Astyanax mexicanus: one gene and its partners. The protein of the gene in region 1 purifies or fractionates together with the protein of each later gene. This does not show direct contact. Links are inferred from orthologs where the notes say so. Each region holds a gene or a part of one and is shown in the gene's direction. Other genes may lie near its edges.

Region 1 (8,291 bases):
TCAGGAAAGGGAAATGCTTTGTTAAGTGAGGTAAACCAGACAATACTCTGTTTGGTTTATGTGTGCAATGAAGGTGTATATATATATACTGAGGTAAACAGATGAATTCAATATTCAGGTGATTAACTTTCTGATGACTTTCCTGCAGTGCCATGTGACTGTGTGAGGGAGTGATGTTAGTGTGAGGTGCATTCTGGGAATCGTAGTCCGAGACTTGGGGATCGAGTGTGGGAGAGACAGGAGCACCTTTGGCACCAGGTGTGACACTGAGGTTCTAATCCATTTAACCAGAAGTTCTAACGCAAATCATACATGCCCTCCTTCTTGTCGTCATGCAAAATAAGGTGGATACTGTCTGGAACCTCCAGGCACACATGGCAATAACATAATTGCATAATTGGGATGCTATTTTCGTGATCTGTAAGCGAGCCATCAACCATGAACAATGCAGATTGATTGATGGTGTGTCAGTGTACCTTTGCTATCATAACGACGGGAAAAGTAAGCCTTACATGGCTCGTAACGTGCAATAGACTTGTAATAATCCTTTTAATTAATCATGGGTGTGTTTTGGACGTAACGTGAAAAGAAACAATCAGTGTTTCTTTTTTTATTCCCTTCTAGAGTCAGGTGTGCTCTGACTTTGGCGGATTTATGTCTTAATGGCGCTTCCTAGCCAAAGAACCTGACCTGCTCATTCACTCTGTGAAGGTGTGTGAGCAGGTCATTTACAGGAAAAGCAATGTTATTTAATTTTGTATTCATTCATTGTTGAAGTAAAAGTTTGTCAATTGCCAAGATAGCAATACCCCAGAAATTTACCTGAACCTTTTCTAGACTACCAGACTAAATATATTCGTAAGATCCATTGCTATTTAAAATGACACAGCCACAGGGCATGAAAATAGACTGTTTGCAGGGTGTGAGATAGCAATGAGCATTGCGACTCTCATTGCGCAGGGTCTGGACCCTTGTTTGGTCTGAACCTTCAGACTTTACAGTTTGGTCCAGCTAAAATAGCAGGTGTGAAAGGTGCCACAAACCACAATCCAGACCAAAACCAGACTTCTCTTTGTGTGCATCACACAGCAGTATGGGTACAACATATTACACTGGTGATTCTGTATCTACTGTAACTGTAGATTCATCCTTCAAGGGCAACTCCCCAAATGGACGAATGTGCAATAAAAAAACATGTATCTTTAAAACAGCAACATTACCAGAGAGAGTTAAAACCTTTCAATTGAAATCAATGAAAAAAGAGTTTATTTTAGTTTTTTTAGTTTAGTTTTAGTTTAGAAGATTTATTCATTTCATTATAAACAAAATACATTTTAAAGAAGAAAAAATATATACAAATCACAAATAAAATGAAAGGCAGCAGAAAGAAGAAGAAATCTTATAATATCTGCCCCTTTTATCCCAAAAATAATTAAGAACAATAGTAAATTTCCAAAAAAACAAACAAAAAAAAAACTAGACAAAAAACATCAAATCCTTCTCCAACAACATTTGATATAGTTGCACATTATACTATTTCATATTTTTTATACAGATCAGCTTTTATCCTTTTTTAAACACACACATTGATCTAGCATTTTTAACATCACTCTTCTAATTATTCCATAATCTTATTCCTTGAATTACAGTACACCGCTCCTTCAGACTAGTTCCAAATTTAGGTTTTACAAACATCTCTATCCCCTTATAGATTATAACAACTTTTTCTCTTCACAAAATTAAATAGGATGTTTGAACTTAATGTTTTTTTATGAGCCTTATACATAAATAATAAAATATAAAAGTCAACTAAATCATAAAATATCAGTAATTTTAACTGATAAAACAATGTATTTGATGGATGACTGTAATGTTTTCTGGTGATAATTCTTACAGCCCTTTTCTGTAGAATAAGAATAGAATTTGTATTTGTTTTACACGGTTTTCCCCAGACTTCAATACAGTAGATTAAGTGTGGAACAATTATAGCATTATACAATATATACAGAGCTATATTTTACATATTTGTTTAGAATATTTCTTGGTTTATTCTTCAGGATATTATAACAAACGTCAGAAACAGTTTGTGTGTTTAAATTTGACAGCATTGATATAAACCAATCAATGCCAAGTACTTAAAGATAAAAACATTAAAAAACAATATTAAACCTGTTAACAAAACTCAAACTTGCCTTAACTTTCCCTTTGGGACCAACAAAGTCTATCTATCTATCTGTCCGCTCATCCATATATCCATCCATCCATATATCCATCCATCCATATATCCATCTGTCATGCACGTTTAATAGAGCCCCATGGGCAGGTGCTGATACAATATACCCCGGTGGATTAAAACTGTAATTTATTACAAAATATACTATTTATATAAACCTGCAACAAAGAACTGTCGATTCTAATCTGTGTATTTTCCATTGCTCTTGTGTACACACACATATGCATGCACACACCAACACACCAACACACACACCAACACACACACACATATGATCATGTGTTTTACACATTCCTTGCAGCTGCTGCTGAGCAACAGCAGAGAGGAAAAGACGGTAGTAGTGACATCACACACACACACAAACACACACACAGACTGAGATGACCTTAGCATATGTAACGACATACAAAACCTTCCAATTATAACTGAGGACCCGCGTAAACATCCCAACCTGCCAAGAGCGTAAAACAAACACACACACACACACACACACACACGCAAGCAAAGTGGAGCAACACACTGAACGACGCACAGCAGCAGCAGAACATGATGCAGAAACAAATCGTATTGTTTCAGGATTTCAAATGATTAAAATTATTAATCATGATTAATCACATTATTCAGTGTAGTTAATCGTGATTAATAGCATTTGTATCATGGTATTTGCCCAAAATTGACCCCAAATAAAGCTATTGTTCCATTTGAAAGCAGTGCATTGTTATAAGAAATTACTTATCATTTAATAGAATTATAATGAGGACAGGGTTTGAACATGAAACTCACGTGATCTCTACAGAATGAGCGCAGTTTTCCAGTGAGAATGGTCATGGGTCATGGATTCACTTGGGTCTATTCTTATTTGGAACGTGACACAAGTTACAGGATTATTATTTACTGTATGAATTCATGCAGTATCAAGAATATGAACGTAATCACAGTGTGGCTTATGACTAAAACAGATCTGACCATAGCAAAACAACTATGCAAAGAAAGCCAGAAGTTAACATAGACACGAGAGCACCCTGAAAGCCCTGAGTGATCATGTGATCAAGCAGCAGGATAACAGCACTAACATTTCAGTTTATATTTTATGTGTTTCTGTTTTTATTATCATCCACTGCCCTGTCCACTGTGAGTAGTAATGCCTTTTTAATGATGTATTCCCAATACACCCATTAAACTGTAGATCGTGGAATGTTAAATGTTCGCACAACTTCCAAAAAAGAACGTCCAGAACATCAATCTGGCAACTCTGATGATTCATGTCACCTTGCCATGAGCATGCTGGTCGATGTTCAGCTTCACTCACAGGATAACACCTTATAGAACTTCTACAGGTGTCGTCATTCCCATTATAAATAAATATAGCACTTTTAGCTGATGCTCTTAACAGGCTTACAATGCTACTGATAGGGGCATAGAGTTGTCCAGGCAAAGAAATCACTATTTTACACCATAAACAAGCTCAAAGTAGCTCCACACTTCATTAGTAGAATTCTGAGGGCCCTCAAATTTTAAAACAAGGCAACGAGAGCTTTAAAAGTGCACTGTTTATACACACAATACCTTCAGGTAGCTTGAAATTAAGTCACGATAAGTCAACTGACAAGTACAAATTAAAAAGTAGAAAATTAATTCAGTGGAAATGCAAGAATTCCAGTTGTTTCTGTCTGTTTTTAATAAACTATCTGTGCACTTTTAAAGTTTTCAGTGCCTCGTTTTACATAACAGGGCCCTCAGAATTCTACCAATAAAGTGCAGAGCTACTTTGAGCTTGTTAATGGTGTAAAATAGTGATTTCTTTGCCTGGGTAAAGTTATGCCCCTATCACTAGCATTGTAAGCCTGTTGGGGGCATCAGCTAAAAGTGCTGTATTCAACAAAATGTTGTACTTGTTATCATGTTTCACTACGACCCAATTTTGTTTTACACTGGGGTTCTCCTTTAAGGGTTTAAAATCTGACACTACCATGTACCAAGCTCTTATTAATCAGTTATTAAAACAGATAAATACCATTCTAGAGCATTCCACTTTAAAGACAGTCTTCTATTAGAGCGACATACAGCAGAGCATGAGCAGCGACAGGGTAGAAAGAGTTAATCAGAAGAATAATGTGTTTCAGAGCTGCCGAGATTATTTTGCAGGGTTTTTTTCTGCACAAGAACAGCTTAATGAGCTCAGATCAGCCCAGATCACACACACACACACACACACGTACAGAGAGAGAGAGAGAGAGAGAGAGAAAGGGAGTTAGTTTGAGAGTTTATGTGACCGACAGACAGAGGGCATGAATTTTGTCTGTGTGTGTATGAAAGAGAGAAAGAGTATTGTTTTTTTGTTACATTTTAAACTTTGTGTTTTAAATGATTTTTTCATTGGTTTATTAGTTTATCTTTTTCTTATTACTTTATTTATTTATGTACATATATTTATGTATTTATTTATTTTTATTCTAATGTTTTATATTTTAATTCTTATGTTCTTAGTTCATTATTATTATAATTAAGTTTTTCATTTCTTACCATTCTTATCTTTTTACTTTACTTTTACTATTATCTTTTTATTTATTTTATGTTTTATAAATTCCTTACTTTTTATGTGTCAATTTGTTTTTTTTATTAGAATCTTTTAGAATGTTCTATTTTACATATATATTTTATTCATAATGATTTAAAATTAGTATTTTTTTTTTTTTTTACTATTTTATTCCTTATTATTTCTAATTTCTTATTAAATGTTTTCAATCCTATAATGTTTCGATTAAAATGAGAATGTGTGTGAGGGATTGATTTTGTGTGTGTGTGTGTGTGTGTGTGTGTGTGTGTCTGATAAGGTCTGTAATAGGCCAGTATGTGACAGGCAGGTCCAAAACAGAGGTGAAGCCCCGCCCCTTTTGTCCCTGGCCTATATTTAACCCAGCATGAAGCTCAGTTACTGCAGTTTACTGCACATGGTCAGACACACACTCTCTCACACACACTGGACCTCTAATTCTCTTCCTGACCTCTAACCTGCTGCTGAACACTCCGACTGAGCACCTCACTGGATATAACTGAGCACTGTGGAGCCTGTTTTTCTGCACTTTTATATGGATTAATAACTGAGAGTTTGGGAAAATGTTGCTGCAGGACACCCCGGGCTCTCTTCTGCATGGTGAGTCTGTGTCTCTCTCTCTCTCTCTCTCTCTCTCTCTTTCTGCTTTAGTGAAGAGTGATGAAAAGATACAGACAAGTGTTTCATAAGAGAGCGCAGAACAAGAACAGCCCAAAGGAACCTCACACACACACACACACACACACACACACACACACACACACACACACACACACACAGAAACACAGACACTTGCGCTCAACTGGACAGACTCAGATTCAACTGCATTCAACTGCACTGTAATAACCAACTGTTGCCAAAGCTGCAGTAATTATTCAATGAGTAACATTTTAACAGTAATAAACATTTTCACTGCAAAAGTGATACAAAAAAAGCATTTATATTATATATTTAAATATACACATTTTATACTGCATACTCTGCGTGACACATTGGAATATATTGAATGTCTCTTAAAGTCTCAGCAGCGTCCCAAATCCTAGGCTGCTGCCAAGATGGGCTGCATTCCAATATGAGTGACCCTTTCATTAATATATATAGCCTAAAAATGCGCTTGACATTCTGAGCAATTTTGGGGACGCAGCTAATGTATCCTTCATGGTTCTCGACTACCCACAATTTCTTTGCACTCGTACAACATATAGGTAATGGCCAAATGACCAAAAGTTTAGTTTTTATAATTATAACTTATTTACGAGATGAAAAAGCTTTTCACACACAAAGATCACCGCAAATATTGAAGGCTCTTCCATATGTGTGATTTTAATGGGTTACTGAGAAAAAAGTTCATAGGGCAGTTTTGTAGTAGACCCCGTCATTCCTACTGAACTGTAGCCTTTGTAGACTTTGGAACGCAAACTACAGTCTCTTTCTATCTCTTTCCCTCTTTCACACACACTTTTAGTCTCTCTTACATTATAATCTCTGTTTCACTTGGTCTTTTACACACATTTCTTACATTTAGTCTATTTGTGAAATGTATACATAGAAGCTATTTCCCAGAATAAGAAGATTAAGCCTAGTTTTGTACAGTTTTTTTGAATGGAGATATTCAGTTGAAAGGAAATATATATTCTACCACCAGGCTTAATCCCTGTCTGGGAACCAACCTATAGTCTAACTCTCACATGTCTTTCCTACACAGTCTCACTCTCTCTTACATATATTTCTCTTCTACTTTTAGTCGTAGTTTGGACATCCAACAGTACAACAGTAGCCACAATATGGTCTCTTAAAAATATTTCTATAATAAAATAAGTCTTTCTAAAAGTGTTTCTAAAATAAGTCTCTCTTTCATGTTTAGTCTCATATATAGTCTTTCTCTCGCATACGTTACTCGTCACTCTCACACAAATCTCTCTAAAAGATTGTCTTTTGCAGCTGTCCAATGAAAAATCACCATTGTTTTAACTTTTGCAAGGCAAGGCAAGTTTATTCATATAGCACCTTTCATACACATCATCAAGTTCGCTGATGACACAACTGTAGTTGGCCTCATCAGCAAGAACGACGAGTCAGCATACAGAGAGGAGGTGCAGTGGCTGACGGACTGGTGCAGAACCAACAACCTATCTCTTAATGTGGATAAAACCAAGGAGATGGTTGTTGACTTCAGGAGAGCTCCAGGTGTCTACCACCCGCTGAACATCAACGGCTCTGCTGTGGAAATTTCTGAACTGAACTTCTCTGCAATGTGAACACCGAGGAACTTGGTGTTATCCACAATTGTGGATAACACCAAGTTCCTCTGTGTTCACATTGCAGAGAACCTCACCTGGTCCCTCAACACCAGCTCCATAACCAAGAAAGCCCAGCAGCGCCTCTACTTCCTGCGGAGACTGAGGAAAGCACATCTCCCACCCCCCATCCTCACCATGTTCTACAGAGGGACTGTAGAAAGCATCCTGAGCACCTGCATTACCATCTGGTTTGGGAATTGCAACACCTCAGACCGCAAGACCCTACAGCAGATAGTGCGGACAGCTGAGAAAATCATCGGAGTCTCTCTTCCCTCCATCACCGAGATCTACACCACACGCTGCATCCGCAAAGCCACCAGCATTGTGGACGACCCCACCCATCCCTCACACGGACTCTTCGCTCTGATGCCGTCCGGCAGAAGATACAGGAGCATCCGAGCCTCCACTACTAGACTCTGCAACAGCTTCATCCACCAGGCAGTCAGACTTCTCAACGCACAGAGACAGAACTGAACTCCCACCCCACCCACCACTCACCCAACACACTCGCACAAAACTAAACTGTACACCCCCCCCCCTTTACACTCACAAAGAACTGAACTTCACCCACACACACACCCAGTCAGCACACAGAGGCTGACATGACTTTTTTTGCTGCACTCTTAAAAACTATAAACTCTACCTCAGTAACTGCTGTGATTATATATGTTACAGTATGTCACACATCTCTGCACCTTATCCACACTATACACTTATTATACCGTATCGGTACTGCACTGTCCTGTCTTTAAATTGTCTCGTCTTTTGTATTTATTGTATTTATTGTTATTTAGTGTTATAATTTTATACTTTTATGTTGCACTGTCGTCACTCCTGCACTTTATGTTGTCTATTGCTTGTTGTTCTATGTTGCACCATGGTTCCGGAGGAACGTAATTTCATCACACTGTGTACCTGTACTCAGTGTAATGACAATAAAAGCCTCTTGACTTGACTTGACTTGACTCATTCAAAGTGCTGTACAAATTAGAAAATACAAAGATAAATCAAATTAAAAACATGTAATAGAATAACAATTAAAATGAAAATAAAAATAACATATAAATGAAGCATAACTGATTCAAACATGATTAAAAGAAAAGAAAAATCAAATAAAAACCTGTACAAGAACAACAATGAATTGGAAATAAAAATCAAATAAGAATAAAGCATGAATAAACCATGATTCAAACATGATTTAAAA
Region 2 (7,482 bases), on another chromosome or scaffold:
TTGTCTGGGACACAGCTGTGGCTCTGTTTCTGGCCTATAAACAGTGAAATCCCATCTCGTATCTGACAGGAACATGCAACACTGTTGATGTGCCCAAATGTGGTTAGAGGTTAAAAACAGAGGAGACCGCCAGAGGCATCCTCTGTGTTTTTGTCTTGTTTATGGAGAGTCCAACCTGCCTGTCTGATTGAAAAATACCTTTACTGTTTCTTAGCTCACTGGCTCAAGACTGCAGCCCTGAAGCACAATGTAAGGAATTCTCAGAGGTGTCATTTTAACTTTTTGTTTAATAATATTTTTCTGCTTCATTTGTATGGTTTGGAGGAATAATAATAGTTTTTTTGTTCATTTACAGTCCAGTCAGAATATTATAACCAACTTGTTTCTACACTCATTGTCCTTATAATCATCTCCACCAACCATATAGAAGCACTGATAATTGAAGAACAAAGTGAAATAATAATAATAAAATAATCAAAATAAATTAATCTTCCGCTTAATTTCAATTCACTATTAGAAAGTGTATTTTATGCTATTTTTGGGTTTAATAATAAATGCATTCATTGTTATTGGATGGTACAGCACAATCTGTCTGCTTTGTTTAGTGTAACTGCATCCTGACTGTAATTTTCCATCCTCTACCCCCACAGCACCTGTTCATGTGTTGTGGACAATAAATTCTCACCTTCAATCCAGTTTTACTATGGGTGAAAGAATGGCATTATGTGTCATCTACAGCACTTTCTGCAACAACTGCACTGTTTTATCTCAGTGTGCTGTCTCCATACTGCTGTAAAATTCTTAATAAAATTCTTTTAACTGTGCCCAGTTTCACAACATATGGTCCAGCTGCATGAAATCTTTATTGCTGCAATGTTAAAGAATGCTGCAGGGATGGATTAATAGCGTTTTGAAAGTGAAGGACAGCCACAATGCTTTAATGCGGTCAGCTAAGGCTGCAGGTAATGTCTGAAGAGTCCTCTGCTGAAAGATGATGGTGTGTCCTTCATCTATAACATCTGGTTTGCTCCAACTTAATTTCTTTCTAGCATATTTGTTTTATATAATCATTTACCACAGATTCTGAGTCAATTGCCCAAAGTGCAGCAGTGAAAAACGTTGATGTTATAACCATTAAATACTATCTTATGCATTAAAAGTATCTTAATGTATACCATTAAGATACATAACTTACCTGAACTGCACTTTTACTCTGGGAATATACTGTTATTACTATTATTTTCAGTCTTTTCTAGGGGTACCACCATTTTTGCCCTTGCCAGTTTTATTTGTTTTTTATAGCTTTTTTAAATGATACTGTTGAACCACAATTCACAATTTTTATTTGCTTTGATGTCCTTGGAGATGTATTTGTATTTCTGATTGTGTTATTACTGTGGTAAATCTCAGCACAATGTGACTTCATTGGGATCTATATTAAACCTCAAAAGGAGATATGTGATATTACTGAGCTCTTCCTCTCAGGAGACTCATGCTAAAATAAATTTTTTTGTCTAGAAAAACGTATAGATATATTAAAGAGATCTTTGATGATAGATAGTTGATGTTAAGTATTTTTCTTTTATTATTATTATTATTTTTGCTGGTTTCAGGTTATCTCAGTTACCATTATGAGTTTTTGTCTTTAACAGAAAGGTACCTATAATTTTGTCCAGATGTGCAAATTAAAAAACAGAGCAAGAACAAGAAACAACCCAGGACATCTTCCTATATGAATTGCCATGTCTTCTTAGATTAGAAGGTATTTGTTATTGTTTATTATTACAGTAATATTATATTCTACATTATTTTTTTAATTTTCAATTTTGACATAATTTAAATCTGATCTTTGCACAGTAACACACTACTGACACTATGATTTTATATTTGTTGATTGTTGTTTTGCTGTGTTTCAGAGATCAATGACAAACATCACTATGAACCACTTGCATACTCTGCCTTTAGATCAACAGACACACAAATCACATCACACTCGTATATACTCTTTGTTCGAATGTCAAGCAATGCAGCCTCCAGAGTCCTGCTCAGTGTTATGCAGTGATTCTGTTTGTACTCCCTGTAGTGCAGCTCCCATGAATGCAAGTGAAAGTATGCCATATCATGGTCATCCTCTCTGTGAGCTGTTTTGTGCATTCGCTACTGTGAGCGTCTCCAGGGACCCCGCAGGTTTCAATCTGAAAGAAGGCCTGAGGCTTTGAGGGAATGCATCTCTCACCCACTGGCTTGTGTTTGACATCAAACCTAGCAGTGGGCTCTGAGGGAAAACAGCCGTAGGGATTCTCCTGACTCCTCACTTCACCTGCAAAGCCCCCACTGTCACTAACTTAATCCAATCATATTCTCCTCCAGCTGCTCTCCCTGGAACACACACACACACAGCCCTGACGAACACTGCTGAAGCTCAGGAAAATCAATGCAGTTTTTTTAGGGTTTTAAAATCACTAAATAAAACAGGTTTGTAATAGATACTTGAATTAAAGTTACTAATGCAATGCTGGCATAGTGCAGATTCATAGCTTTCAAATCATTAGCATGAATGTACATATCCAGAATGTCCAGAATTGATGATCATAGCTGAAGATGATACAACACACCGAAAGGTAGTGTTGTCCTGCACCGGCCCATCTGAGGGACTGTTCGAGGCCTGTGGACATAAGGGACTACTGAACTTGGGAAAGAAACTTTTGGGGACTGTGGGGACTTACAAGGATGTTTGCCAGCATTTGGTGGGGAGCTGTGTGGCCACCTTATTCTTTGTTTGTTTTTTTTCTGGGGTTTTATGCTGTTTAAAGGGGTCTATTTATGCATCATATTTGTTAAAACTTAGTTTAGTTGTGGCAATTTTACTGTTGGAGTGTCATTCAACCTTCTAATATTGAGGCAAAAGATGAATAAGAGCCACTATTTACAAGAGGATTACTGCTCATTCATGCACTCTTCTGTTCAACTCTGGTCTGGTCTTGTTACTACATCTACAATATGAAACTCCTTGTTTTGGATTTGACTCTGAATAATATAGCTAAGGGTAAAGTTTGTGCAACAGTTGCACCGTTTGATATCTTCTACTTTTACTTCACCTCATATCCCTTAAGGACTGATGTGTGTGAGTGTGTATATAGTTTAATGAGTCAATGCTGGATTGGGGTTGAACAGCTGTCTACATTTATGAGACTCTATTGTCCACTACAGAATAAACACAAGACCAATCACAAAAAAAAAAAAAAAACATTTTATTTTGATTAGGCATTATAAATTAGCTTAAATCACTACATACTGTGCGCGTGTGTGCCCACTTTTTCTACAACATGATCCCTCCTCCCTTGTGCACTTCTAATAAGAGTCAGATAGCTAGGTTAGCTGATAGCTAGCTAGTTAGCTAGCTGGTTATCATTAGCTTTGGGCTTATAGCTACCTTTAGCTGCCTAGCTAAAACATTCCACACTGAAAACCTCCACTACTCAATATGTGGTGCTCAACAATTAGTATCTGGTGCTTACCACTTGGCATGTGGTGCTCACCACTTTTTTTTACGTTAAAAAAATACATCAGAGTTTCGTGGTTTGGCACTGACAGAGAGAATTTGGCCATTTTTTTTCACATACTCAGCTCAACTGCTCATCTCGATACATGTTCTTTACAAATGTAGCAGAAATAATCTACCCAACACACTTTTTGTGCTCTGTTTCGTAGTAACTAAGGGCTTTGTACAGACTTTAACACACACATTTAAGAAAAAAACATAGAAGGCTATTTAAAATCTGTGCACCCAGCTCTGGTCCTTCACTAAATTATATATTATGGTCTGTTGTTCGGAGCGCGCCATCTGGTGCTGCGTGCTGTTATTACAGGAGCCTCGGAGTAAAGAGGAAAAGTGTGGAAAGACAGTAAAATGAATTAAAATATGAACAGCTATGTTAATGAATAGCCTGTTTAAAGTGTCCGGCGTAGTGCTGCTGCGGCTGTTTAAGGGTTTGTGGTGACACACAGTTCCTGTTCAGAATATGAGCTGTTTCTGTTTATTTCCGCCGCTGTGGCTGCTCGGCTGAACATCGATGGTTTGTTGGTGGTTCCCGGTGCATCTTGGGATACGGACGGTGTTTGCCTCAGCTAACTAGCTATCAAGATGGCCGAGAATGTTTGGTTGAGGAGCTGGAGCTGAATACAAGCAGAACTGGAGCGACTGTGATGTTGAGTGGCAGGATTTACTCGCCCGCGACAGAGCATATTCAGAAGTAAGCTGTCAGCATGTCAGCAGTGCTGTGTGTGAGTTTGTTTTTAGCTGAGGAGCGCTGCCGCGGGGCGGGATTTGGGCTACTGGTCTACCGCTCCGGCGCTGCGGGAGAGAGCGCGGCTTCTGCTGCGGCCTGGGGAGGCGAGCGGGACCCGCGGAGGGGTCGTTTTATCGGGGATTTGTAAAATAGTATTGTCATAAAGTGGGGGAAATTAGAATATAAACTGGTTAGCTTCTAGGAAAGCAGCAGGTTAGGTGAGTTAGTTAGCTAGCTTACTAGCTAGGCAGGCTAGCTGGTGGGCTAGCTAGCTGGCTGGCTAGCTCGGCGCTAGTGGAGCTTTTCCCGGTGACAGTTGCAGCATCAGCAAGGTTACGGGCTGCTGCTGGGCGCTGCATCTGCGCGCCAGCTCTGTTGATTGATACCATGGTTTTGTCAGCATTTAGCTAAGCGAGCTAATCTAGCTGGCTTTAAATAGTAACTACATTTCTCCTCGTTGTTTATGGTGGAAGTTATTAGCTTTAGTTAGCTGAAGGCTCGCGTCGTGTTTGTGCACAGTCATACCCCCCGGCCCCCTGGCGGCCTGGCCAACACCGACTACCAGCTAGCTGAGCCAGCAGGCTAGATATCTAGCTAGCTAACCTTAGTTAGCTGCACTTTCTGTCACTCTATCACTTGTTTTAGCTGGCTAGCAGTATCTAAAACTCGCACCTTATCTGGGTTACGTTCTCTCCTTCTCGTAGCTAAATATCTAGCTAGATATGTTAGCTAGCTAACAGAGTTGTTTTTCCTACAGGCGGGTTTTCTCACAGTACTCCCCTAAACATCACCTGTCAGCTCCTGTAGTTCAGGCTGCAAACAAACATGATCCAACCCATCCAAAACATTATGAAACACAGTAAAAGTTATATACAGCTCTGAATAAAAATTAAGAGACCACTTCATTTTCTGAATCAGTTTCTATGATTTTGCTATTTATAGGTATATTTTTGAGTAAAATGAACATTGTGTTATTCTGTATACTATATAAATATTGTTATTTCTAGCATGTATTAGCAGAAAATGAGAAATGGCTGAAATAACAAAAAAGATGCAGATAAATATGCAAAGAAAACAAGTTCATATTCATAAAGTTTTAAGAGTTCAGAAACCAATACTTGGTGGAATTACCCTGATTTTTAAGCACAGTTTTCATGCATTTTGGCATGTTGTTCTCCACAAGTCTTACACACTGCTTTTGGATAACTTTATGCCATTCCTAGTGCAAAAGTGCATTAATTCAAGCAGTTCAGCTTGGCTTGATGGCTGTGATCATTCATCTTTCTCTTGATTATATTTTATATATATATATATATATATATATATATATATATTTTTTTTTTTTTTTTTATCCAGAGCTGTACATTAAAATTTCAGTTTAGCTGTAATTATATTTTTGTCCTGTAAGTTATCTAATTCACTGCTGTTTTCTGTCTGCTCTATTTAGAGTCTCTATAGCTAGCTAATAAACCTGTTGTTGTAGTTCTTGTTATAAAAATGCATGCAAAAATTTGTGCACCTTAACCCTCTATAACATGATTTTTATCATTGTTAAAAAAATAAATCAGCCCACGTTTATCATTCAAAAAGTCTGCTTTATCATGATTGCCTTGTGATCTAACGGCATATTGTTTCTCTGAGGCAACACATTAAAAATACTTGTTTTAGGAGGTAAGTGAAAACAAGATAGCAACAATAGGCTTTAAAATTGGCTTTTAAGTATATTGGTTTAAATACTAAAAATATATGTTAGGATAGTGTAATAATAAAAAAAAAGTTGTTTGTTGCCTGAGGGGCGACACCATGTCATAGAGGGTTAAGGATGGAAAGCTGTGCTGTTTAGAAAACTGAGTCAGTCCAAAGCCAAACCATCATCTCATTCGTCACCTACAGAACTGTTTCTGACCACATTTTGTTCTCTTTAGAGTTCAGAGCATAGAAGAGTCCAGCGTTGGAAACCTTAAGCAAGTCTAATGTAAGTACATGTGCGTTATCCACTGTTAAAATAGCAAATTTTTACTGCCAGTATAGCAACCTCTCCTTTACCTCATCCACTGCCATTATCACATATTTAATGCCAGTGCTTGTGGAAAAGCTGATTGCTACATCCTTGTTTTGGCTAAAATCAGACTGTGTAGCTGTATAGAGCATGCAGCCCAAATACAGCAAGTTGCACAGTCCCCTTTTTTACAGATTTTGTTTTCCATTTAAAAACATAGCCTAGAAAATGCCTGTCACAATAATTATGTCAGTATTGCATGTTCTGACGAGGAGGCCCAGTTAACATGAATTAGCTGGTATGTCAAAGTTGTTTAAAAGCAGCACATGGTAATGTAAGATTTATTTATTTTAGGTGTTTTAAGAGTCACTTGGCCAGTTTGAATTGCTTTGCATGAAGTTAAGTTAAGTAATCCTTAGGGTGTAATAAACTCACGTAGCATAAGCAGCATAAATATAATCTGTTAATACGTTATGTTATTATTTCTCAATACTTTAGTGGCATGAAATTGTCTTGAAATCCAAATTTATTGTGACAGGCCTAGCCTAGATCATAGCATGAAAGTCATTCTGCATGTGTATTTGCAGCTGAAGTGTCTCTTGCTTATCTGATTTTTGCTCATCTTTATTTAGATGTTTTGCAATTGACAGAATTATGGGCTTAATCTGAGCCATTATTTGCAGGGCATTTGGTGTTTAAGTATTATAACATTTAAATTATAATTGCGAAACTGAAGGGGCTGTAGTGTTTTGGCTCTCTGTAGTTCTTAATTGTGATGTAACACTGAAATTTGCACTACTCTGACTTTAAAATTTAAAAGTAGATTTGTGAATGAACCTTACTAATCCCCTGCTTCCCTGTTTGAATGATTGATGCAGGAAGCGAGCGGCTGCAAAGCATCTAATTGAGCGTTACTACCACCAGTTAACTGAGGGCTGTGGAAATGAGGCCTGCACGAACGAGGCTTGTGGCTCCTCTCCGGGTTTCCGGCGCATGGATAACAATGCAGCGGCCATCAAGGCCCTGGAGCTCTATAAGAATAACGCCAAACTCTGTGATCCTCACCCCTCCAAGAAAGGTGCCAGCTCGGCTTTCCCGGAGAACAGTGCCAAAGGAGCTCACAACTTTTCTGCTTGCAGCAACGGGAAGATGAACCACAAGGATCTGCCTCCCTCAAGGGAAGACTTTAGAGGT
Region 3 (8,406 bases), on another chromosome or scaffold:
AGGAACGTTTAAGGACAAATTTTACTCTCTTAATTTTGCTCTCTCGTCATAGGTAGGAGCTGGGAATATTTTTATAAGGAGCTGGGGATATTTTTATAAGGAGCTGGGAATATTTGTATAAATGCTAGCTATAATAATAATAATAATAATAATAATAATAATAATAATAATAATAATAATAATAATAATAATAATAATAATCGGATTAACTAGTTTATATAACAGTTACTACCCTGCTCGGCTCAGACCCGGCGGCATGGGCGGGCATTGGCGGGCAGTGCCCCCCCACAGAGTCAGCTATGCCCCCCCTGACTGGACTGGAAGCCGTATATGTTTTTTTTTTTTGTTTTGTTTTGTTTTCACCTCTGAGTGAACATCTTTCTATTTTTCCTATCTCAGTTTGTCAGTCATACAATTCAACCAATCAGTGAAGGAAGGCAACGTTCTAGCCAATTACAGTTGGAGGGGGGCGGGTCACTGACTAAAGTTCATACTTGAGAAACAGCTACGCTCACCGTTGTTCGTGTGGCATGGATATTCGGACTTATTTCCAAACAAATAAGAGGACAACAAGTGACACTGGAGTACATGAGAATGGACAGGAAGCAGCACCATTCATTTCAGTTGGAAACGTAAGCGTTGAAGTCAACACTGGAGTAAACACAAACGCCGTCTGCCACTCTACTAAAAGTGGAGTAAACCTCTTTCTGCTCACCACACCTCCTCCCTCACATGCACAAACTTAGGTTTCTTGTTCTGCTCCTTGTACTCCCTAGCTGTTGTAGTTAACCCTCCTAGCATGAATGTTTACTTCAGTCAGTGTTCTGACATCAGTGCTTATGTTTTTCACTGCATGTGTTTTTGCATATATTTGACTTTTAATTTAATTGAATGAACAAAGCACTGCACTATTGTTTTTTGTTTGTTTGTTTGTTTAGATTTTGGGATTTTATTGACAGATTGTTGTTTCTCGGCACTGGAGTCGCCATAGAGCCGCTGTTCAATTTGAAGCAAATAAAAGGCTTTTTGAAAAAAATGTGCCCCCCTGAAAAAATACAATGCCCCCCCTTTAAAATGTTTCTGCAGCCGGGTCTGGCTCGGCTACCCTCCATAGGTGGGAACTGTTTAGGAAGCTGGTGGGTATTCATGGTGAGGAAACGGCCTTTTGTTTTTGCATTGTTTTTCAATTTGTTTTATGATAGGTTTTACAAAACACTGCATACAAAATTTGAAAGAAGGTTCTCCCCTGCGGCTTTCTGGCGCTCAGCTGCTACCTTCTTGAGTTCCTCCATAACCTGCTGTTTCCTAATAACCATGGTCATCCTCATGCTTCTCTCCTTCTCTAGCTGCTCCTTAACCTTAGGCTTTCGCTCCATGGCCGTCTTTTCGCGCTCCGTAAAATCCCTCACCCGCTTCTTAAACCTATACTCCCTCACCAGAAACATGCTCTCCCGCTGCTGATATATCTTCTGCATCCGCTGAACCTCTTTCCTCTGCTCCCTAACCATCGCCTCCTTTTCCTTAACCTTGCTTTCAGCTTTTTCAATCACCTCCTCCCTCTTCTTAATCATCTGCCTGCGCTCGACATCCTCCTGCCTCCGCTCCCTGAACAGCAGATCCTGCTTCCTTAATTCCCGCTCCATCCCAACAACCCTCTGCCTCATCTCCTTAACACTCCTCCTAGGCCTCTTTCTGAAGAATTCTCTCACCTCTTTTAACCACTTGCTCAACTTTTTTAAAAGCCCTGTTCGCTCCTCTCTCTTCTGTTTCGACTCTTCCCGCTTAAGCCGTTCTAGGCCTTCAAGCAGCTCCTCACTCTCCCTGGCCATCCTGTCCTCCTGCTCCTGCAGCAGGATGCCTTTTTTTATCAACTCCATCTCCATGCGAAATTCATTCGCCTCTCTGTTAGATGCGCCAGTCTGCAGGAATGTCTTTTGCACCATGTCGCCCTGAATTGACAATGACGTCACGTCAGAAGAGTGCCCGCTCTGCGTTCTTCATTTATATACCCTTGGTTCGATGACGTCACTGCGCCGCCTCAAGGCAGCTAGAGTGCAACACGGCAGGTACGTCATAGACCGACGTAAGTCAGCGGTACCTGACGGACAATATCTAGCACGGCGTCATATGACATATGACGTCATATGACGCTGCCATATTGGATGGGTCTTCTCACTCTAGGTTAGCGCCACAACTTTATAAGTGAGGAGTTGGGAAAAAAGCTTGACTTCCATATAAACCAAGTAAACTCATAATACAACTTTGAATATATCTATATATATAATTGATTCATCTATACACTTATTTATGCACGTATTAATATGTCTGTCTTTGTTAAAGGGCCTAATACAAAGTATTTATTTCAGCATGAAAGCACGCATTTGTAATGTGTGACAGTTTCCTGTATCATTACTACATCTCTACAGCCGTTTGTTACAAACCAAAGCGTGTGAAACTCGGGTACAAATTATAAGAGTTGTGATTATTATAGTTGTATTAAACACCTTTCTCAGAACAAATAAATGCACTTGGGGCGGTTGGGAGACCCATCCAATATGGCGGCCACGCTGACACGCCATGAGGCAGGCTATGAGGCGTCTATACATATGATGTCTATGAGCCAGAGTTCAATAATTTAATATAAATGTTAAGTTACGTTAACACTGTTTGTCAGATTTAATAAAAAGGTATTATTTCAAGGGAACTTACTAACTAGTTTTTATTAATTAAAAAACTAAATTTATTTATTTAATAAATTTCAGATATTCAGATAGTCCTCTTTTCAAATCAGGTAAACAATAACAGTGATGTCTGTATGCCTGTCTTTGTCAAAGAGCCTAATACAAAGTATTTCAGCATGAAAGCACGTATTTGTATTGTGTGATAGTTTACTGTATCATTACTACATCTCTGCTGTTTGTAACAAACTAAACCGTGTGAAAATCGAGTGGAAATTGGGAAAGTTGTTATTATTATAGTTTTATTAAACACCTTTTTCAGTACAAATAAATGCACTTGGGGCGGATGGGAGACTAAATGTAAGCTCCAATAGGGGACGTACCTGGCCTCTCTTACCTGCTTGGGCAACATCAACAGCAGCAGCAGTAAGCAAAGTAACCAAAATCGACTGTGGAAGAACATAAAGAGAGTTGGTGGAATATATCTGTCTTGTGCATATATACTCCACCCATGTGACGTCAAACCATCTGCATCTTAGCGCTACAGAGGTACACCCCTCGGCCCAATCAGCTCTCCCTTCTTTCCCACCCCTAAACCCATTGGCACCTCCTAAACTACTACTCTCATTTTTTTAAATATTTTTTTTTAGGTTTGAGCTGAGGGTGGAGTGATTTAAAATCAGGGGGTTTAGTTTCCACTTCATCAAAAAGGATGCACAATCCCCACAGGCTAACGAACACTACAAATCACACAGTTGAGCTGCTTCTGAATGCTGCTCAGCAACTGGTTTGTGCAAAAAGAAGGATTCCTTTTAATAAAAAGATCAAAATTCAGTGAAAATAATAGAAATGTGGGCTTTTACAGGGCTTTTATTTTTTAATAACACACAAGAATGTCTCAATGTTAACTGGCCTGTGCAAACAAGATGATTCAATTTAATTACAGTCTTAGAATAAAATAAAATAAAATAAAATAAAGAATGTGACCATTGTAAGTGATTTCATTTTGAAATGCTTCAAGGGCATTGTGTGTTTTATAACGAAGATTTACAACCTTTGTTGACCTTTTTTTAAAATGAATATTAAGCATTATTTCTAAAGATATACAGTATTCATTTCAGTTCACAGTCGCCTCTCTGTGACAACATTTGGCAGCACACCCTCCCTGCCAGCGCTGGTTCTCTGTTGTAAACACGCCCCTTACCCTAGTGATGGGAATTCCAGCTCTTTTTAGAGAGTCTGTTCTTTTGGCTCGGCTCACTAAAAAGAGCTGACTCTTTCAGCTCCACTTTTTTTGTTGCCTTTTCTAATTCATTGTGTTTTCTTTCTTTTTAAGACTATATTAAAGCTGTACAGGAACACGTGGAATTATGTAATAAAAACTGTTAAACAAACCATAATATGTTTTATACTTTAGATTATTCTAAGTAGCACATTAATCTTTGAGGACAGATCTGCACACTCTTGGTATTTTTATCTCAGTGTGGTAGAGGTGAGGTAGAGTCACCTGGAATAGTTTTCTCAGCATCTTGAAGTTCCTGGAGGTGCTGAACAATAGTTGCTGCATCCCAAACCACCTCAGTTGATCAGGCTTTGGATCTACAACCAAATAACTATAAAACTGAAACATAGCACAACAAATAAGAACATTTGTGTTTAGTTAGCTTATGTTTAGTATTTTAGACAATCTCAATAACCAATGCTTAAATAACTGTGGCTCCATATACCCTGTGTGGACTGCAGTAGGTGAATAAAAATATTAGCTATATATTTCCTTAACTATGATTAATTACAAATGTGTTGTCTTTAAAGGTGTGAAAATATTAACATTAATTACTCGGTAGGAAGAAGTATAGATACTTGGGTTTAAAATACTTCTGTAGAATGTGGAGCCTCAACCCAAGCTTTTTACTCAAGTTCAAATGTAAAAGTTCTGGTTTCAAAACTACTTAAAATATAATGTAAAAAAGCTGAAAAACAAGCTAAAACAAAATAGGAGTAACAAGGCTATTTTTAAAATGTAAGGAGTAGAAAGTTCAGATAATTGAGTGAAAATGTAAGGAGTAGAAGTAAAAAGTGAAGTATAGATAAGGTAATAAGAAGGTATTTACACTTCATTACTTGACATCTTTTATGATTAATGACAAATTTGTTGACTGTAAAAGGCTTTATGATGGCATGGACAGTATTTTAGCCAGTCATGCTTAATGACCAATCAGTGCTTTAATAACTCTGATTTAGTGACTTCATAAACACAGTGTGGAATTCTGCAGTAGGTGAAGAAAAAAGTATTTATTTTACAAACTATGATTAATTTCGAATTTTGTTGTCTTTAGAAGGGTATAATTGCTTTATTGTGCTATTCTATTAACAATATGTCAGTGGTATTTATATGGTCTTAAAATGACAATAATATCGTTTATCGCAATATTTTCTGATATATCGTGAGAGACCTAATCGGTGCAGAATCAGAAGTCGATTCCCCCGTGGTTCAATTCAAAGAGCCGGTTCTTAGAGCCGGATCGTTCGCGACCGCCCCATCAGTACTGGGCCGCCCCAGCGCGATCATGGCGGCGGAGCTGCATCCGCGCAGCGGGAAGCTCATCGGTCTGTCCAACTCGAACCGGACCGCGCAGCGGAACCAGCCCGTGCAGGAGTTTAACCACGGCCTGGTGCTCAGCCGGGAGCCGCTGCGGGACCGGGACGTCTTCACAGTTCGGATTGACAAGAAGGTAAATCGCTGTGCGGGAGAGAAAAACGGGGCGGCTGGAGTTGGCTGCTTAGCTCTAGCGGAGTTGTCCGGTCCACCTTAAATATTGCAGTAGTCGCAGCCCGGCGCCAGCGCTGTTGCTAGGCTGTAAGCAGTGCGAAATTTAAGGTGGAACGGAAAATTGGTATTTGGTCACCGATGAGCAGCGAAATGTGCTTAGTTGATGATGCGCTTTAACACGCATATGATTGATTTGTGCTCGAAAATTCAGATATTACAGCTGCATTTCTTATTTCAGTGCTTTATTTTAAGGTAAAGAGGTTATATTATCATGTATTAGCTATGTTAGTTAGCTAGCTAACTTGCTAGCTATCTGTTAGCTGCTGCTGCTCGATCAGATAGCTAGCTTAGCTTAGCTTAGCTAGATCTAGCACAGCCTAATTAGTTAGCAGGCTGGGTTAGCTAGCTAACTAACTAGTTAATTAACCTTTACTAGTTAACAATTTAGCTGATGAATACAATATTTAAAGCTTATTTACATACTCGGTTATTGATAAATACACACTTTTTAAAGTAACAGGAGATTAACTGGCTGTCCTTACTCTATGTTTATGTCTATTTTAGCTGGATGCTAAAAAGCTAGGCTACGCTAAGCTAAGCTAAGTAGCTATCTAACGCTAACAGTCTCACTGACAGCCGAGCAGTGGCAGCTTATAAATAATAAACACAGAATAACAGCTCTCGGATCTGGGTAATACTGTACATTAAGGCTCACAAAAAATAATAGGAAAATCACGCTAATAAACACTGTTACGTGGTTCAGTAATGCCTCAGCTATTTATTAACTGACATTAATTAAGACATAAGACAGGATTCAGGATTCAAACAGTTTATTGCCACAGTAAGGAAACAAATTTCCTTGTACAATAAAATTCTTTCTTTGCTTTTCCCCAAGTATACCTCATAAATAGAAAAATGAAAAATACAATAAAAGAAATAATATACTAACTAAATATTCACAAATTTTAAATTGTTGTTAAATTTACATCAATAATTTTATACTGTATTTTACAGACACGGATATATATAAGGTGCAATATCAATAAAAGTCTATTTTTATACATAAGGTGCACGGGATTATAAGGCGCATTGTATGTGACACTAGTAAGGAACAAGGGTTTCACCATGTTTCCCTTCTAAATTCACATAATTAAACAAGTGCTGGGTGCTAATCTACATAGATGTCTCTCCTGAAACATCTCCTGTTTATTTGTGTGAGTTAAGCACTAACATTTATTTACAGTAAGCTATTTTAGCATTAAAATATGTTAGTGGCACTTAGCGCTAGTAAATGCCACCTGAGAACGCTACACTGAGGAACCCTGAGCGTTTTGGAAACCCAGGGCGCTATCAGCCAGCGGGTCGTCCCGCGTAGCTAGTAGCTGTAACACGGTAAACACGCAAACTACAGTCCAATATACTTGGCTGCTAATGCAAATGCTGCTCCAGCCTTGGTGCTGGAGAAACTTTGCTCAAGACGTACCCTTTTATAATGCTATACTTCAGCAGAGTGACTTTACTGCTCCTTAATACCTGACTGGTAAAATTCATACATAAGGAGCACCGGATTAGAAGGCTCACTGTCAATTTTGGGGAAAATTAAAGGATTTTAGGTGCATCTATAGTTGGAAAACTATGGTACAAGGAAGAACATTACTATCTACAGCAGTGAGATGTGACAAAAGTGCAAAAGGTTCAGTAGAGCAATTGTAAACATTGTTACAGTGAAGTGTAGAGAGTGAGGTGCAGGGTTATTTTGTCTGAAGTAGGTTCAAGAATCCGATGGCAGTGGGGAAGAACCTGCAGGCTTGTATGTTACAAAATGTTAATGCTTTAAAATGCTGTAAATAATATTGAATCTTAACTGGAGGACTAAACTAGGACTGGAGTATTTTCTGGATGCAGCACAATGTTATTGTCTCGTATGATGAGTAAGCTAGCATTAAGAAAGTGGATTTATTTTATTTTTATGGATTTTAAACTCTTTCAAAGCGCTCAGTTAATGGCTTCCTGTAAACTGCCAGGTCCTGGATATTATGAGTAAATGCACAAAATCAAATTGCAAAAGTTTAAAACTAACATTTATGGGCATTACATCATAGATATACAGATCCTATTCTGGTCATTATGATAGTATGATACACTGGTTGAACATCTAAGCTTAATTTGAACTAGTTCTCCTTGAAATAATTGAAAGTCTGTACAATCCAAGCTGTTATAAAAATCACGTCTAAACATCTCAAATGTCCATTCAAGATAACTGTGATGCAATTTTCAGCATGAAGCACTAAGAATACATTTAAACAGCAGATGTTTATTTAGGGCTGTTTACACTGTTTTTAGTGTGACCTCTATCTGACATTTGTCTGAACAGTCTTTTCTGTGCTAAAGAACAGCGCTTCACATGAAGTTTCAGTTTCATCTTCTCCAGCGTTACAAGGCAAAGTTCAGCCTGCAGCTGGTTTTATAACCAGGAATACAAGCTCTTTGTGGAAAAAAGGGTTGCTGCTATTTAGCTAAGGATACTGCTTTAGTTTGTGTTCTGTACTTTTTATAAGCTCTTTATTGTCCTTTGACACTACAGCAATAACAGTTTAACTAGAAACACAGGTCACTTGCTTTTATTATATCACCAATGAAACCTTCACTCTGACACTTTTGTGCATTTTCCTCATTTTCTTGCATAATTTTTCACTTTTCTCCAATGAATTTTGTAAACTCTTCTAATAAATGCATGTAACTGCTTGTTGTTTCACCAATTGTTGACACAGATGTTCAGATGCACATATAAATATATTGCCTGGTCCAGTTGATTTGAGAATTGAGAGTTTCCAGTCTCTTAAAAGCCTTTTACCTGATATAAAAGTTGCATGAATCTGAATGAATCTGGCTGTGACATTGCTGGAAATCCGACATATATCAGATTTCAACTGCATATTAAAGTTGCCCAAATCAGGA
Region 4 (7,580 bases), on another chromosome or scaffold:
AAGAGAGCTATTACTTACTAGTCTTCTTGGTTCATGCTTTATTACCTAAATCATGTAACCTACCTTGAGAGCACATTTCCTTTTTGAAGGAGAAAGAGACGGAACTTGTGATTCTCGGGGCTGTTTCTGAAGCAAAGAACGCAGCTGATTGGCTGAAAAATAAAAGCAGAGAACTTAACTGACAACTGATAACTGACAACTGACAACTATATATATATATATATATATATATATATATAATTTCAGAATGTTGCCCTCTGTTTCTCTGCATACGTGATTTTTCTCGTTTCACCCTGTTGTTTAACACTGACATGGTGGTGGTGTGTTAATATATGTTATGCTGGTAGGAGTAGATCAGACACAGCTGTGCTGCTGGAGTTTTTAAACACACAAATGTCCAATCTATTATACAGTCCTACCCTGCTGCTCCAGCGTGTAAATGTAAAGTCAGAGACAGAAGCTCATCACTGAAATAGAAGAACTACAACCTGTAATTGTAGCTCTACAAAATGTCCTATATGCTCAGTAAAGCTGAAAAGATGGGTGTAAATAATGTGTCTGAAATAAATAAATGCTTGATTATGGTATATTCTGATATACATACATTTTATCATATTTCGCATTAACTGTCTATGGATCGGAGGCATACCTGCTTCACTCTGCTGCACATGCTGCTGTGAGCTGTCCTGCATGCTGTTATCACTGCTTCCCTGTTCCAAGGCCTCGGATTCAGAGCTCTGGTTTGCCAGCATGCTGCTCAGCTGCTGAATACTGCGGTTGGCTTGCTCTGGGGCAATATATAAAATACAGATTAAACTGCTGAAGTGTCTCACACTCAAGATTACAAGAAACAAAGCAACAACAGAGTTTTGTACTGCAACCCTTTACACTGTTTCGAACATCTGAGTCTGTGTAAAGCTACAAAGCATATCGGCTACTCTTTTTATTATGCTATGAAAATGTCAGGGGAGCATGCATAATTGATATGCCAGTGGTGATTTGGGGTTTAAAGAGTTTTAGCTGACTCCACCCTACACAGCTTAAATAATAATAAAAACAATATAAATTTTGGGACTATTTAATGACAAAAATGAATAAAGAAAAAAAAACAAGTGTATTTGGTGTAAAATCAGGCATTGTAGAGAAACGTATCAGGTAAGAATAACACAGTGTCAATTGTTGGTTATCATACTATGTACCTTTGTTTTTAGTAAAAAACAAACAATTTTACAAATAAAACCACAGTAGCAGTTTTTAAAAAAATATTTCAAGTTTCAAATCTTTTTTCAACTTTGTTTCTTACTGCATGATTCTTTATGTGTTCATCATAGTCTGGATGACTTTAGTATTTATTCACAGTGTAGTAAAAATAAGACCACTGAATGAGAAGGCGTATACAAACTTCTAACCGGTACTGCATATATTTATGTATTTTTATATATACAATATTTTGTAAGAAAAGACAGCATTCAGATAAAATTAAGATTCATTTAAAATTTCGGTTTAACTCAAAGAACATATGTATATTCACTGGGCATTTGAGGCAGCATATGAAATGCCTTTATTTAAAAACTACTTTATTTAACAACTATTTTAAGTTATATTAAACCACAACACTAGATTTGACCTAATAATTCGCTACTTTTCTGCAAAGCTAGGTTAGTTAGTTTAGCAGTCGAACATGCAAATAATTAAAAACGGTCTAAAACGTCTACCGCACGGGATTTTAAGGGCATGTTTATTTTCTGTTCAACGCAACGTAACGTTAATTTTAGTTAATTAACGTTAAGCAGCATCACCTCTCAGTTTCTTCTGATAAGCTCCCAGTTCCTCCTCCTCGTCCGAGTCCAGCGACGGCTTCATTTTAGCCTGGATTAACTGAAGCTCGTCAGAACATGTGTGCCTAATCACCTGCTACAAACTCTAATCAGTCCCGTCTAAAAAATCTATAATATTATTAAAATAACCCAACGCTCTGCAGAACTACAACCTGTGACTGAGTCCCTAACCGTCAACACTCGAATCACAGGTCAAACTTCCGTCAACGTCCCCGCAAAGGTTGCTGGGAACTGTAGTCCCACGGTGACCTCCTCCCTGATACTGAGAACGGGGATAACGAGGGTAAAAACTACACATTGGAAGATGCTAATATTTTAATGAACGATGAAGACAAAAAACGCAATCATATTTTCGCGTAAATCATTGTCTAAAATCACAAACATGTATGTATTACAATAAAATCGCCGTATCTATATTTAAAATACAGTTTTTAAAACATGGTACGCGTCTTTGTGCGCGATGACAACATCGCTGAGGCCACGCCCACTGGACTGTGTTGGAACTGCAGACGCTGGCGCTGCTGTAATATCAGAGAGCCTGTAGCGAGGAGAAGACCCACTCGAGAATGTATTCCCCCAGTTTGTCACTTTTAAATTCAGATACTAGAGGGCGCTGTATATGTATTTGTTTTGATTATGTGCATAAATTATATGGTTTTATATGGAGCAATTGGGCAAAATCATAGTTTATCATGTCAAGTCAAGTCAACAGGCTTTAATTGTCATCACACCTGAGTACACAGTGTATTGAATTTATGTTACTCTGGAACCATGGTGCAAAATGGAACAACAAAACAATAGACAACATAAAGTGCAAAAGTGTAACATAAAACTATAACACTACAATAAATGCAATAAAAACAACAGACAAGACAAGACAACAGACAGTTTACCAGACAGGACAGTGCAGTACCAATACTAAGAATAATATGCTGAGATATGTAACATACTGTAACATATAGAACATACATGATCACAGCAGTAACTGAGATAGAGAGTTTCTAGTTTTTGTGAAATGAAGCAGCAAATATTGCTAATAGGGATATAGACATTTCGGTGTGTGTGTGTGTTTGTGCGTGAAGAGAGGTGGGGGGGTTCAGTTTAGTTCTGTGTTAAGGCCAATTTATACTTTTGAGTCGAACCTACGGTGTAGCCTATGCGTCACCCCATACCCTACGCCGTAGCCTAAGCTTCACTGTGTGCCCTACGGCGTTGCCTACGCCATAGCTCGATTCGCATCTCTCTGCAAATGTAACTACGCGTCGTGTGACGAGGACATCTCGCATCTCCTCCCACACATTCCTGCCTTCGTGGTTTAACTAAGGGCTAAGGACTAAGGGCAGAGCAACACAGAGTTGCTGATATGTGCACGCAGAAGTATAAGCGCACTCCGCATAGCACACTCTCCCTGGATACACGTAGGCTATGGCGTAGTTTTCACGCAGAAGTATAAATTGGGCTTGAGTGTGTTGGATGTGTGATGAGCGGGTTTAGCTCCGTCTCTGTGTGTTGAGAGGTCTGACTGCCTGGTGGATGAAGCTGTTGCACAGTCTGTTAGCGGAGGCACGGATGCTCCGGTATCTTCGAAGAGTCCACATGAGGGATGTGTGTGTTCGTCCACAATGCTGGTGGCTTTGTGAATGCAGCGTGTGGTGTAGATGTCGGTGATAGAGGGCAGAGAGACTGGTCTTCTAAGCTCTCCTCACTATTGGCTGTAGGGTCTTGCGATCAAAGATGTTAAATTTATAAATATTTTATTATTTTTATCCTGACAAATGTAGTTATTTTCTTTAATATGGAAAAATATTAAATGTTTCAGTGCCACAGAAATCATTTTAAAGCGTATAAGCCTTTTAAATGTGCTATTTAGCATTGTTTAGCAGTAACGCTAGCATCTTTACTGCCTAAAAACTGTTTGATGTAGAAAATTGGAAACATACAGATACTTTTTCTAGTTTTTGCAGAGAAAAAAAAATCTTCAGGGAATTAAAGGAAAATCCGGATAAGTATTTCGTTTCTATTGTTAATTTGAGTTTTAAGCCGTTTAGCTCCATTCTCCTTCATTTATTAAAGACTCACTCACGCGCTCCCTCTAGAGGTTAGCAGTCGTTGACTGAAATAACGGAGAGAATAGAAAGTGGGCGGGCTCTTAATAACCCGGCTCTGGCTATGATGTCCTGCCTGCCTGATTCCAGCCTGCCGTAGGTCGCCGCTATTTGTTAGGAATAACGTTATTGCTGAGCAACTGAGACGTAGGAGCACATACTGGGCAGGGCACTGAAAACCGTTGGGCTGCTTCTGAATTGGATCTTTGCACAAAAAGGGGAACAGAAAGGGGTGAGTAACAGTAATATGTCAATCAATATTATATTGCTAGTTATATTTTTCGGAATGATGGATGGATGTTTAATGGTGCATCGGCAGCAAGGGCAACGTTAACGCTAGCTTATTGTTGGCGTGTCTAAAAAACGTTTTTCTTGCCTTTCCTATAACCTAGGTTAGCAACGCTAACGTTACTGACTCGAGGCCGTATCGGATGTTCTTCATAGAGCAATATGTGATGAATTCAGTTCTATTTTAGATTAATGGTGTAAAATTCGCTGCAGAGACGCGTTTCGGCCGGCAGAACTTCAAGCAGCATCACAACGTGTGCAATCAGCATGCCAGATCTGTGTTTTTCAGAGCTGTGGCAGCATCATGGCTCAGAGATCCTGATTTGATTGTGGGTAACGTTATTCGTGGGTTTTGAATATGTGCAAAACGTTTCAAACATCTGGAATATGTTTGTAATAATGAAAAACACGCGTTTACGTATGTGTAGTGGATTTCAGTAATTTATTTAACTATGGATTGCTAGCTAAATTATAAGATCAGTCTTTCAGTATCATTCAGGCATCCATCAATCCTACCCAGCTGGCATTTCAACGTTGAATCAACATTTATGTTATGGTTGAATCAGCGTTGGATTTGGTGTTGATTTTGAAAAGTGAACTATCGTTGATATGGCAACGTTGTTTCAACGTTGTACGTTTAACCTTTAATAAACCATAGCACACTTAAACTAGAAAATACTTTGGTTAAGAGTGTTAATAAACACAGTAAAACAAACTGAACATTAATATACCCCCAGATATGGTGAAGAATTGGTGCCAAATTTTTAAGAATTTCCTGCAAATGGAAGTAAAACTACTTTGTCCTCCCTCTATCCAACCGTTTTTTAATTGTATGGTGATGAAATGTAAAATGTTCATTCAAAAGGCAGAAGGTTAAGGACATTATGTTGATTCAACGTAAAAAATGTTAACGTTTGCACAACCATTTAGCATTAAATGTTGTTTCAACGTTGAAACAACAACAGACATTACTTCAATCATATTTCAACCACATTTTAATGTTAAAGGTCGGTTGTGTGTCAGCTGGGTAGGTTTAATGTGGTTAATGCGAATTCTCATTTAATGGTAACAGGGCGTTAAGAAGTATAGCTACCTAACCTAGATATCGTATTTTTAAAATGTGTATTATATTATTAGCTGCTCATGCCCTACAGAGATGTCCTAAGAATACCAGTGTTAAAGGACACAATTTAAAGCATTGGTCGAGTTCCCTTTGTGTTCTCTCTCTCTCTCTCTCTCTCTCTCTCTCTCTCTCTCTCTCTCTCTCTCTCTCTCTGTCTGTCTGTCTTTTTGCCTGGCTACATCTGGCCTGAATATTTCCATTCAGCCTCAGTGAACCCGCTGGATAGCTTCCGCTCTTTACACAACATCGCTCCCTTAGTTATTAATATGTTACTAAACGGTAACCTAACTAGTGTTAATACACTGTAGTACACTGTAGGTTACACGCAGCTATAACCGGCGATAACAAAGCAAACCCCGGTTCGACTTTGCTGATCATGTCCACAGGGCTACAGCTAGGTTAGCTGAGTGCTGCTGGATAAAGGGGGGATCCCGGTGGGACTCGTGCTGTATACATTTATTTATTTCAGTTCCTTTCTCTCAGTTCTACCTATTTTGAGTTAGACTAGACAGGCTGTAGCTACGCTCACATTAATTTCTCCATATATATTTAACTAGCTAAGCTAAGAGTATTGGTAAAAAATAAACATAATACGAACAATATAGGTACAGTAAGAAACATCGGAAAACTGGAACATATAAACCTGATAACAGTTAGCTACAGGACGTCAACGTTTAACACGTCTAACAAAGCAAAGCAATGGGGGACAGACTACCTTCTCCTTTCCCTCCTACTGCTCAAACTGGAATATTTGGACAGGAGCCATGCTTTCTCCCATGGCCAGATGCTCTCCTCTCTCAAACTGAAACTGTGCTTTACTGGGCCGCAGCATTGGGCTATTAGATGACACTATGAGGGTCCTTGTAATTTAGATTAGCAACAAGTTTTAGATTTTTTAAATGTTGTGCTTGTAAAATGTGGCCTATTTATCTTTGCTTCAAGGCAGACCTGGTACTACAGGCCCTCTGTTTTGAGTGTGCCTCTGAAAAATGAGTTTAGGCCTTTGTCTTCTATGATAGTCAAAATGGCTAGATTAAACTTAAATTACATTACTCTAACAATAATAGGAGCTGCTGGTGGATTCTGCTTAGAATTATTAGTGTTTATGAAAGAGGTTTTAGTGAACCCCAAACACCAAAATACATCCACAGAAATGAAATATTATGATTAGTTTAAAGCTAACACTAGTTAATCAGTAATCAGTAAACCTGAAGCTGTCAGATGCTACAAAATACAATGTAATCAAAATCAAAATGTAATCATTGTAATGTTTGAATTACACTGATTAGCAGAAATAAATATGGTTCCATTAACTGAAAATAATTTTGTCAGTGTTATAGTTAAGTCCAATTTGGAAAATATAGCCTACTTTCAAACAGCATTTTGCAGTAAACTGTCTCTCTGTGTTAATTAGTGTAAATAAGGTTTAATTAATGGGCTTAATATCACTGAGTAGCAGAAAAAAATATTGTTCCATTAACTGAAAATAATTGTTACAATGTAATAATTAAAGTCCTATGCAGTTTAAATGTACAGCATGTGTGTAACTAAGCCTAACTTATACATTCTACAGGATTCTGATGTTCATAGTTCATAGTGTCAAAAATATCAGTGAAACCTATTATTATACACAAAATTGTAAGATCCTGGTCGTCAATGCTAGTTAATGAGCTAGCCTACCAGCAAAGGGATTTTTTTCAGGATGACCAGCTGGTCTTGAGCTGGATGTTTTAACAAGGTTAGAAAGTAGATTCTGCTACCTTACTTGATTTAGACTTATGTGTAATTCAGTGTGATTCAATGCAGAGCATGTTAATGAAGCCCTGAAAAGCTTTTTACTATTAGCAGTTGTGAATCATGAATCATTGTTCTCATTTGTGGAAATCCTTGATATGATTCTGATATCACTGTGCATCCCTAGTGATGATACTGCAGATTCTCCTGGAAAAAGTGTATTGTTAGGCAAATCCACTACAAGGGGTTCTTTAAGAGTTCTTTGTTATTTGCCAGTTTGGATCTCTCTTTGATTGTGGTTTGTTGGTGCATGACTTTATGTATCAGGCATTTATGAGTGGAGATTAACTTTTGCTTTTTAAAAACTAAATACTGTAATAGACCAATCAATCTCATTCATACAGTAACTATTTGATGTGTTACTCTCAAGCAATAGATGAATCACAAAGTGACCACATTTGCAAACCATGCAATTGCTGGAAGCCCAAAGGT

What was found.
Region 2: the proteins of mapk6 (region 1) and ube3a purify together in Homo sapiens (affinity purification with mass spectrometry; 3 studies listed by BioGRID and IntAct, with this or other methods). This does not show direct contact. The link is inferred for Astyanax mexicanus from reciprocal best matches to the Homo sapiens genes MAPK6 and UBE3A.
Region 3: the proteins of mapk6 (region 1) and neurl4 purify together in Homo sapiens (affinity purification with mass spectrometry; 6 studies listed by BioGRID and IntAct, counting the BioPlex papers as one, with this or other methods). This does not show direct contact. The link is inferred for Astyanax mexicanus from reciprocal best matches to the Homo sapiens genes MAPK6 and NEURL4.
Region 4: the proteins of mapk6 (region 1) and cep170aa purify together in Homo sapiens (affinity purification with mass spectrometry; 3 studies listed by BioGRID and IntAct, with this or other methods). This does not show direct contact. The link is inferred for Astyanax mexicanus from reciprocal best matches to the Homo sapiens genes MAPK6 and CEP170.

What each region holds. Positions count from the first base shown.
Region 1 is NC_064416.1:42,066,667-42,074,957, reverse strand, and holds the start of mapk6 (mitogen-activated protein kinase 6), read left to right. Parts: upstream 1-5,169; 5' UTR 5,170-5,387; intron 5,388-8,291. UniProt on the Homo sapiens protein: Atypical MAPK protein. Phosphorylates microtubule-associated protein 2 (MAP2) and MAPKAPK5.
Region 2 is NC_064412.1:17,793,063-17,800,544, reverse strand, and holds the start of ube3a (ubiquitin-protein ligase E3A), read left to right. Parts: upstream 1-4,102; 5' UTR 4,103-4,253; intron 4,254-6,214; 5' UTR 6,215-6,262; coding exon 6,263-6,264; intron 6,265-7,166; coding exon 7,167-7,480; intron 7,481-7,482. UniProt on the Homo sapiens protein: E3 ubiquitin-protein ligase which accepts ubiquitin from an E2 ubiquitin-conjugating enzyme in the form of a thioester and transfers it to its substrates.
Region 3 is NC_064422.1:43,799,893-43,808,298, forward strand, and holds the start of neurl4 (neuralized-like protein 4), read left to right. Parts: upstream 1-5,218; 5' UTR 5,219-5,245; coding exon 5,246-5,410; intron 5,411-8,406. UniProt on the Homo sapiens protein: Promotes CCP110 ubiquitination and proteasome-dependent degradation. By counteracting accumulation of CP110, maintains normal centriolar homeostasis and preventing formation of ectopic microtubular organizing centers.
Region 4 is NC_064414.1:22,580,157-22,587,736, reverse strand, and holds the start of cep170aa (centrosomal protein of 170 kDa), read left to right. Parts: upstream 1-4,026; 5' UTR 4,027-4,175; intron 4,176-7,580. Other genes in the region: sdccag8 (serologically defined colon cancer antigen 8 homolog), read right to left, coding at 64-152, 650-787, 1,800-1,863.